Linked DNA regions of Oryctolagus cuniculus. The protein of the gene in region 2 purifies or fractionates together with the protein of the main gene of each other region. This does not show direct contact. Links are inferred from orthologs where the notes say so. Each region holds a gene or a part of one and is shown on either strand. Other genes may lie near its edges.

Region 1 (3,811 bases), on a different chromosome or scaffold from region 2:
ATGAAATATTCCTTTTCTAAATTGCATCGCTAAACTGAAATTATCCCTCCAAATGGTCTCCTCTCGCAACTGTCTCTCCCCACATTGATCATCAGCATTTCTGAGCTTCTACCTTATCTTGCAAACCCACACTTGCGAGTACTGCCTTATGCTGTTATTGCTGTTATTTAACTATTCTAGGCAGGTTCAGCCATTTCAACGAAACTGTTAACTCCTAAGAGGTCTGGGATCCTAGCCTCACACTCTCTTAACAGAGGTGCATACTCATTTATTCAAGCATGCAATACATTATTTGTTGAGTGCATATTACATTATTGTGGTTAACACACATGCCCTAGAGTAATTCAATTCACTGGAGGACACAGAGATAATGTCTTCTGTTGAATATCTCAAATATTACAAAAACACAACAGGGAGGTTATCAATGGAGTAGGGCTGAAGAGGTAAAACCTAAAGTACAGGAACAGATTATTGAGAGGAGCTGTCTGAATGTAAAGTGTAAGTACAATTTAGCCCAGGAAAAGGACACACATTTCACCATATGATAGAGAGCATAGCCACAGGCAGGGAATAACAAGATATTAACACAGTAAACTCTCTCTCAGCAACCTGCTGGCTGAATACAAGAGACTTTTAAATTCAAACCTACAAGGACACCAATTTCCACTGAACTCACATCCTCATCTGTAAAATGAGGATAATAATGCTTCCCTCCTAGAGTTAACTGTGAGGGTTAAAGAAGATAAACGCATGCTTGGTAGCACATGTAATAGACTATTATTCTTTTCTCACCTGTGTGGTTGCCAAGCCATTGCTAATACTAAATCCATTAATCGTTATCTGAATCTGTCCTCTATTTATCATTTCAATAACTGCTTCGGCAATAGTGTTCATAGGAATGACAGGCATATTAAGAGCCGTGTTACTGCTATCTGCATTGTCTCCTCCATCAGGACATTTCATCTAAAAACACAAAAGGATACAAAATACATTAAGGAAAGATCTCAAATGCAATTATCATTATTTCAATGGTAACACTGACGAGATTCTTACCTTCACAATTTTCACATCTGGTAGACTATCAAGAAATGCTTTGAGGTCGATGCCATTCAGAACTATCCGATTGTCGTAAATGTGCCCATTGGACTTAAAATCAATGACTGCTTTTTTCTAATGGAAAAAAACGTTTCAGACATGTCTCAGGGTGCATATGAGCAACAAGAAGGAAATACATGATGACAATTCTTTGAATCCCAGCCCCTCGGCAGTTTTCTACATACCTTCAAGTGAGGGAACATATTAGCATGATCACCAATAAAGAAAGTATGGGGCATATAAGCCAATTTCTCAGAATACTGCTCAGCAACCTCTGCTGGTGATGTTTCCTGATCAGTGATTATATAATCCATGAAAAGTGCACCGCTAGTCCCAGGGTATCCCAGCCACATCGCCTTTAAAAGAGAGAAAGACCAGAAACTGATTAAGAAACTTCATCGGTATACTTCTTTCTTAATTCAACAAACTGTACGCATTAAAGATGGATAGACTCTTTTGTACATGCATCACACCTCAATAAAGTGTTTAAAAAAAACATAAGAACACTCATTAAAAGGTTCCAAATTTAGGGGCTGGCCAGTAGATTAAGCCACTGCCACTTGGAATCTCAGCTATTCCAGTTCCAATCCAACTCCCTGCTAATGTACCTGGAAAAGCCACCCACCCAAGTGGCCCTGCCACTAAAGTGGGAGACCTGGATGAAGCCCCTGGCTCCAGCCTGGCCCAGCTCCAGCCATTGAGGCCATTTGGGGAGTGGACCAGCAGATGAAAGATCTGTCTCTGTTCTCTTTAACTCAGCCTTTCAAATAAATAAACCTTGGCCGGCGCTGTGGCTCACTTGGCAAATCCTCCACCTGTGGCGCCAACACCCCAGGTTCTAGTCCCAGTTGGGGCGCCGGGTACTAGTCCCAGTTGCTCCTCTTCCAGTCTAGCTCTCTGCTGTGGCCCAAGAGGGCAGCGGAGGATGGTCCAAGTGCTTGGGCCCTGCACCCACATGGGAGACCAGGATGAAGTACCTGGCTCCTGGCAGCGCCGGCCGTAGTGGCCATTAGGGGAGTGAGCCAACGGAAGGAAGACCTTTCTGTCTCTCTCTCACTGTCTATAACTCTCTCACACTGTCTATAACTCTCTGTCTCTCTCTCTCTATCTAACTGCCTGGCAAAAATAAATAAATAAATATAAATAAACCTTAAAAATTGTTCCAAATTTAAATAAATTAACAATTAGGATTAACTTCTTTAACCAAGAGCAATAAAGTAGTATTTTAGACTAATCTTCTAAGTGCCAAAATGTTTTTCAAATTTGTATAATTCAACCATGAATTGCATGTCTCCATACGGGTACATATGCATGTATCCAGAGGCACTGTGTTCTGCACTCAAAATTATGTGTCCCTGTACATTTCAAGAACTGTAGTTTCTAAAACATAACTAGGTCTGCTCTACTATTTCATGTATCTGTTAGCCTAAGGGAAAAAAATACATCACTATCTTTGTAGTCCAAGATACATCCCGAGTGACTAATTCCTTTACCTGAATAGGAGCTGGTCTAAGAGCAAAGAGCTCATTTCGTGCACCCTTGGTATAACCATTCATATTCACAAGGATGTGAATTCCATCCTGATGGATGCGATCAGCTGCTTTTCCATTGCATGGAATCTGTGGAACACAAAATAAGAATTCAGCACATATAATCTCAGAATAATGTGATTATTTTTAATGGCATTAAACAGAATTCAGATTCCCTGATGCAAAAGTAGTTAACAGAAATTAACCACACTGATAAAGGCCAAAATATGTGTAAGTGCCATTAATATGCACTCAAAGCATTACAGAAACAGGACACAGAGGAAGAAGAGTTTACCTCTGAACTGAATGTTTGGAGTAGTGACACGTCATAGCAGAGTTAGTATTTGAAAAAGACCTTCAAAGATTACAAGGAATGAGAGGGAATCTGAAAATATAACCTCAGAGGCCAACACTGTGGTATAGCAGGTAAGGCCACTGCATTCAGTGCCAGCATCCCATATGGGCACCAATTTGAGTCTCAGCTGCTCCACTTCTGATCCAGCTCTCTGCTATGGCCTGGGAAAGCAGTAGAAGATGGCCCAAATCCTTGGGCCCTGCACCTGCGTGGGAGACCTGGAAGAAGCTCCTGGACCCTGGCTTCAGATCAGCCCAGCTCCGACCATTGTGGCCATCTGAGGAGTGAACCGGCGAATGGAAGACCTCTCTCTCTCTCTCTCTCTCTCTCTCTGCCTCTGCTTCTCTGTAACTCTGCCTTTCAAATAAATAAATCTTCAAAAAGAAAGAGAGAGAGAAAATATAACCTCAGTAAAGAACAATTGAAAAGAACCAGAGTAAAGGACAAGGTAGGTTTAAAAAAGGTGAGGAGAAGCAGGTGCTGTGGCACAGTGGGTTAAGCCACCACTTGGGATGCCTGGATCCCGTATCAGAATGCCAGTTCAACTCCCAGTTACTCTGCTTCCAATCCTGCTCCCTACCAATGCCCTGGGAAGCAACTGATGATAGTTAAAGTACTTTGAGCTCCTGCTACCCATGTGGTAGAGGCCCAGATGGGGCTTCTGGCTCCTGGCTTCAACCTGGCCTTGCCTCAGTTGTCATGACCACTTGGAGCACAAACCAAGGAATGGAAGCAATCTGTTGCCGTGCCCCCTCCTTTTCCCCTGTCACTCTGCCTTTCAAATAAATAAATCTTAAAAACAACAAGAAGAAGGTAAGTAACTTACATTTAA
Region 2 (4,417 bases):
AAATGTAAACACGCAGCTATTGTTTTCAGAATTATGCATCTGAGGGGACTGCTGGCTTGGCAGGTAAAGTTACTGCCTGGGATGCCATCATCCCATATGGGCGCCGGTTTGAGTCCCAGCTGCTCCACTTCCAATCTAGCTCTCTGCTAATGTGCCTGGGAAAGCAGCAGAAGATAGCCCAAGTATTTGGGCTCCTACACCCATATGAGAGACTCAGAAGAAACTCATGGCTCCTGGCTTCAGACCAGCCCAGCTCCAACTACTGCAGCCATTTGGGGAGTGGCCCTCTCTGTAACTCTGCATTTCAAATAAATAAATAAATCTTTGGGAAAAAAAAAAAAGTATGCAGCTGAGCAGTTTCTCAATTTTTACCCCGTGTCCCTTACAGTGGTTTCCTGCTCTAATTTTCATGTGTTCTACAAGCCAAGAAAATTTTGCCCAGTTATACTTTCTAGTTTGTACTATAAAACAGTGAAGGTTTTTTCAAGCTGGAGATTATAAATATAATGCAAACATAGACCTAAAAGGACTCTGGACCAGTTAATATATACTCAACGAGGCATAAGAGGCCCACCCTTGTTCTTAAAGAAAAAGTTATTCAACTTGGGCCCTGCAGGACGGCTCCCACAGGAAGGATGAAGAGGAGCTGCTCTTCTATCAGTGAGGTGGTGACCAGGGATGTACCAACATTCACACGCGTGTCCGTGGTGTGGGCTTCAGGAAGCATGCTCCTCGGGCACTCACAGAGATCTGGAAGTTTGCCATGAAGGACAAGAGAACTCCAGATGTGTGCATTGATACCAGGCTCAACAAAGCAGTCCGGGCCATACCACATCCATACCACACCCACGTGAGATTGCCTAGAAAACGTAATGAGGATGAAGATCTGCCAAACAAGCAAGTAACAGACTGCTCCCCTCTGGACCTCACCCAGAACTCTATGGATCAAATTAGTCTTTCCAGATTTTAAATGCAATTTTCCATACAACTACTTAGAGAATGAAATGAGCAAACAGAATAATTTGCTATAGGGAAATCTACACAGATTAGATGTAGACTAATTCTTGCTATTTGTCACTATCTCCCAATGATCAGACTGTCTTATCCAAGGAGCTCACTACTCTGTAGGTCCTAGCAACATAAAATTAATTAACATAATTCGGGTTGAGGTCTGCTTACCTATAATTAAAATTAATCATGCTTCTTTTATTAATCAGGAAGAAAGTATCTGTGGAGGAGCAACCTTCCCACCATCATCAACAAAGTAATTTCTAGCATTTTATCCTAGTTTTACGGAGATGTACTGTAGGTGAAAATTCTCAGTAAAATAAAAGCGTTACTATTTTTTGACTTTCCACATTTCCACCTAAACCAGAAAGGCAGGATGAAGCCTCATCAACCCCCTAATGCATAAAGTTTACAAAACAAATGTGCCCGGTTTACAAAACAAATGCACGAGGCTTAATAAAATGCGGGGGAAACAAGAGACTAGACAGCAACATAACAAAACGCTAATAGACATAGCCGAGGGGTGAAATACATGATTTTTTTTAATTTTCTTTTTTATACTTTGCTATAATCTTCCAAACGTTCCCAAAGTGAATCTTTTTTTTTTTTGTATTTAGAAAAACCTCACTCAAAAAAAAAAAAAAAAAGGTTCATTTACAAGAGCTGCCCACGCTGTCCCAGCCATCACCGACATTATCCACGGCGTGCACGCGGGACCCACTCTCGCTTCCCCGCGGGCCAACCCTGTCGCTCCGCTCCCGCCTGTGTGAGGCTCCATCCCTACAGACACACGCGCCTGCACCGTTCCCGTCTGAAAAACACACAGCCCAAAGTTCCCACCGCGCCGCGAGCCGCCACTGTCCTGAGCCCACCTCTACAACTCCGCTACTACACGATCAGGGCGAGGGGAGAGCTACCGCGCCCACCCGCGGCCACCTGGCCCGGCCCCCGGCCCCCGGCCCCCGGGCTGCGGACCAGCGGAGGCCGGGCAAACTACACGTCCCGCCATGCATTGCTGCCCTGTTCGGAGTAGGTCTCTACGGAAACAGAAAAAAAAAAAAAAATCCTACAAGTCCCACCTGTTACTTCGTTTCTAAACACCTCCTGCACTTTCAGCTCCAACAGCAAACAAAAACAAAAGCCTCGTGAGCCCGCGCCGGCTGCGAGGGCCAGCGGCGCAGGGCGCCCGGGGGCGGCCGGCTCGTCTGCCGCGGCGGGCCGACTCCGCCGGGCTGCAGCAGCCGGGCTTGCCCCTCTTCTCCCCCGGGCTGGGTGCACGCACCAGCCTGCCTCCCGGCCGCGGCCAGTGGGGGCTCTCCGGCCGCACAAGGGACGAGAGCCCGCTCACGGTGCGAGCACAACAAGCCCGTCCCGAGCCGCGGCGGGGGCTCCCCCACGGAGCGGGGGCGATGGCGACGTGACCCCGAGAGGCAGCCTCCACACATCCAGGGGGCTCGTCGCACACGCTGGGAGAAGCCACGGCCCCGCCACGACCTCCTTCCGCCGGGCGCCTCCATTCCCGCAGGGATCGCAACCCCGACGCTAACCGCCGCCCTCTCCGCGCGGTTTTGCGCCCCCTCAGCCGGGTCGCCGGGCGGGCGACCTCCCCTCCTCTGCGACTGGCGGGCGGCAGGGCAACGAAACCCTCCCGGCCTTCCCTTCGCTCCCTCCCCCTTACCGTCTTGGCGGCCTCCGCCCAGGTCCTGCCCTTCTTCCTACGGCCCTTTTCCCTCATGTCGGGTCTTGAACTGACTGGGAGGCTCCCGTGTCCGGGCTCCGGCCGCCCTCCCTGCCTGCTCTGCCCTGCGCTGCTTTTCCCGCGGTGCCGGGAAAGGTGGGAGAAAGGGGAAGTCAGGCCGGAGGAGCGCCCGAGCAGAGGAAGCGGCGGGGGTGGTGCGCGGGGGGGTCTATGGGGCGGCCGGTCCTCCTGCTGCCGTTGCTACTGCGACCGCCGCTGCCATATTGGGTTCTTACTGTACAGGCAGCCGCTACGGTCATGTGACCACTCCCGCGCGGCCGTCACTACTGTACGCAGCCGGCCGCGCGGACGAGCGCGCGCGCGCCCCCGCCTCCCGCGCCCGGCCTCACAGCGAACGAGCCGGCCGTCCGCGGCGCCCGGCCACGCCCCCGCCCTTCCGGTCTCCGCCCCTCCGCAGGAGCATGCGCGTGAGGGAAAGCGGACGGCAGAGACCTGCCTGCGGAAGCGGAACTTGATCCATCCGAGAAGGCTTATCGAGCTGCGCGCTGGGCGCCTCGGTGGCTCCAAAGATGGGGGTCTTGGGTCGGGGTCGGAGGGGGTGACCGTGCCAACTGTCGCTTCCACTGAGACTCGTGTTTACTCATTTATGCTCGTGTTTACAAAAGTTATCTTAGCGAAGGCTTGCGACGGCACTCATCTGCTTGTTACCGCCGTTCGGTGAATGAGGCCGCACAAGGGCGGGTTTGCCAAGCTCAGGAGCCTGGGACTTGTGGAAGCCGGAGGTCGCCGGCTCAGAGCCCTTTGCGTCTCCCCCGGCCCCGGCACTCACACTCTGGCTGTGAATCCTCTCGTCAAGGACAGAAGTGGCGTCTCTTATCGCTGTGAGCTCAGCCCCTGGCACGGTGCCCGGAAGTCCAGGCACCTGGTAAATATTTGCCGAATGATTCAGCGGGGGCTGCAGTCAGAAGCCATTATTTCTGTTGTCCGTCAGTGCCTCCCGAGGGACCCAGCGTGGCATCTCCCGTCGCGTTATCTAGGTCTCTGTTGGCGAGTGAAGGATGTGTAGTCCCCCCCTGCTGATCCCGAAACCCCCTGCCTCCGAACTCAACTATATTCTGAAACAGGACTGAGGCTTGGGCCGGTTCTGGAGGAAAGATGGCTGAGAGCGATGGTGGAGCCGTGTGGATTAGGACGCTGTAGTTTCTATTTAACTTTACGCAAACCTAGATAGTTTAAGTAATTCCCAAGAGGGCATGGTACGGTTCTCCAGGTGACTATTAATTTAGTCTTGAGCCTTCTCCCGTCTCACTCAGAAGTGACCACGGTAGTTCTGGACTTCCTTAAATGTTCTGTTTCACTTTCACCCTACTGGAGCTCATTGTTGGTAGGATGCCAGACTATCTTCTTAGTACCCTACTCACCCTCCTACGAACATATCCCCTGTAGCTTGAAAAGTGTCTTAGCTGTACAGACACAACCTCTGTATTCAATCTACTCATCCTCTCACTTACCCTGATGGCTTCTATCAGCATTTGTCCCTCCCCTGAGGACCCCCGCCTCAATGTCTGCCTCTTCATTTAGCTAATAGCATGTCTTCTTCAACATTGTATAAAAATTAGAGACTACCAGTTGCAGTCTTGCCTTCCCTCAGCCCCAAATTCGCCCACAAAGGAATTTGCCAATCTGAAACTTCCCCCTCCTCACCGCAGC

Evidence for each region.
Region 1: the proteins of ASXL2 (region 2) and OGT purify together in Homo sapiens (affinity purification with mass spectrometry; 3 studies listed by BioGRID and IntAct, with this or other methods). This does not show direct contact. The link is inferred for Oryctolagus cuniculus from reciprocal best matches to the Homo sapiens genes ASXL2 and OGT.

Annotation. Positions count from the first base shown.
Region 1 is NC_091453.1:51,360,508-51,364,318, reverse strand, and holds part of OGT (UDP-N-acetylglucosamine--peptide N-acetylglucosaminyltransferase 110 kDa subunit), read right to left. Parts: intron 2,715-3,811; coding exon 2,589-2,714; intron 1,452-2,588; coding exon 1,281-1,451; intron 1,171-1,280; coding exon 1,054-1,170; intron 964-1,053; coding exon 793-963; intron 1-792. UniProt on the Homo sapiens protein: Catalyzes the transfer of a single N-acetylglucosamine from UDP-GlcNAc to a serine or threonine residue in cytoplasmic and nuclear proteins resulting in their modification with a beta-linked N-acetylglucosamine (O-GlcNAc).
Region 2 is NC_091433.1:176,871,040-176,875,456, reverse strand, and holds the start of ASXL2 (putative Polycomb group protein ASXL2), read right to left. Parts: upstream 3,028-4,417; 5' UTR 2,744-3,027; coding exon 2,687-2,743; intron 1-2,686.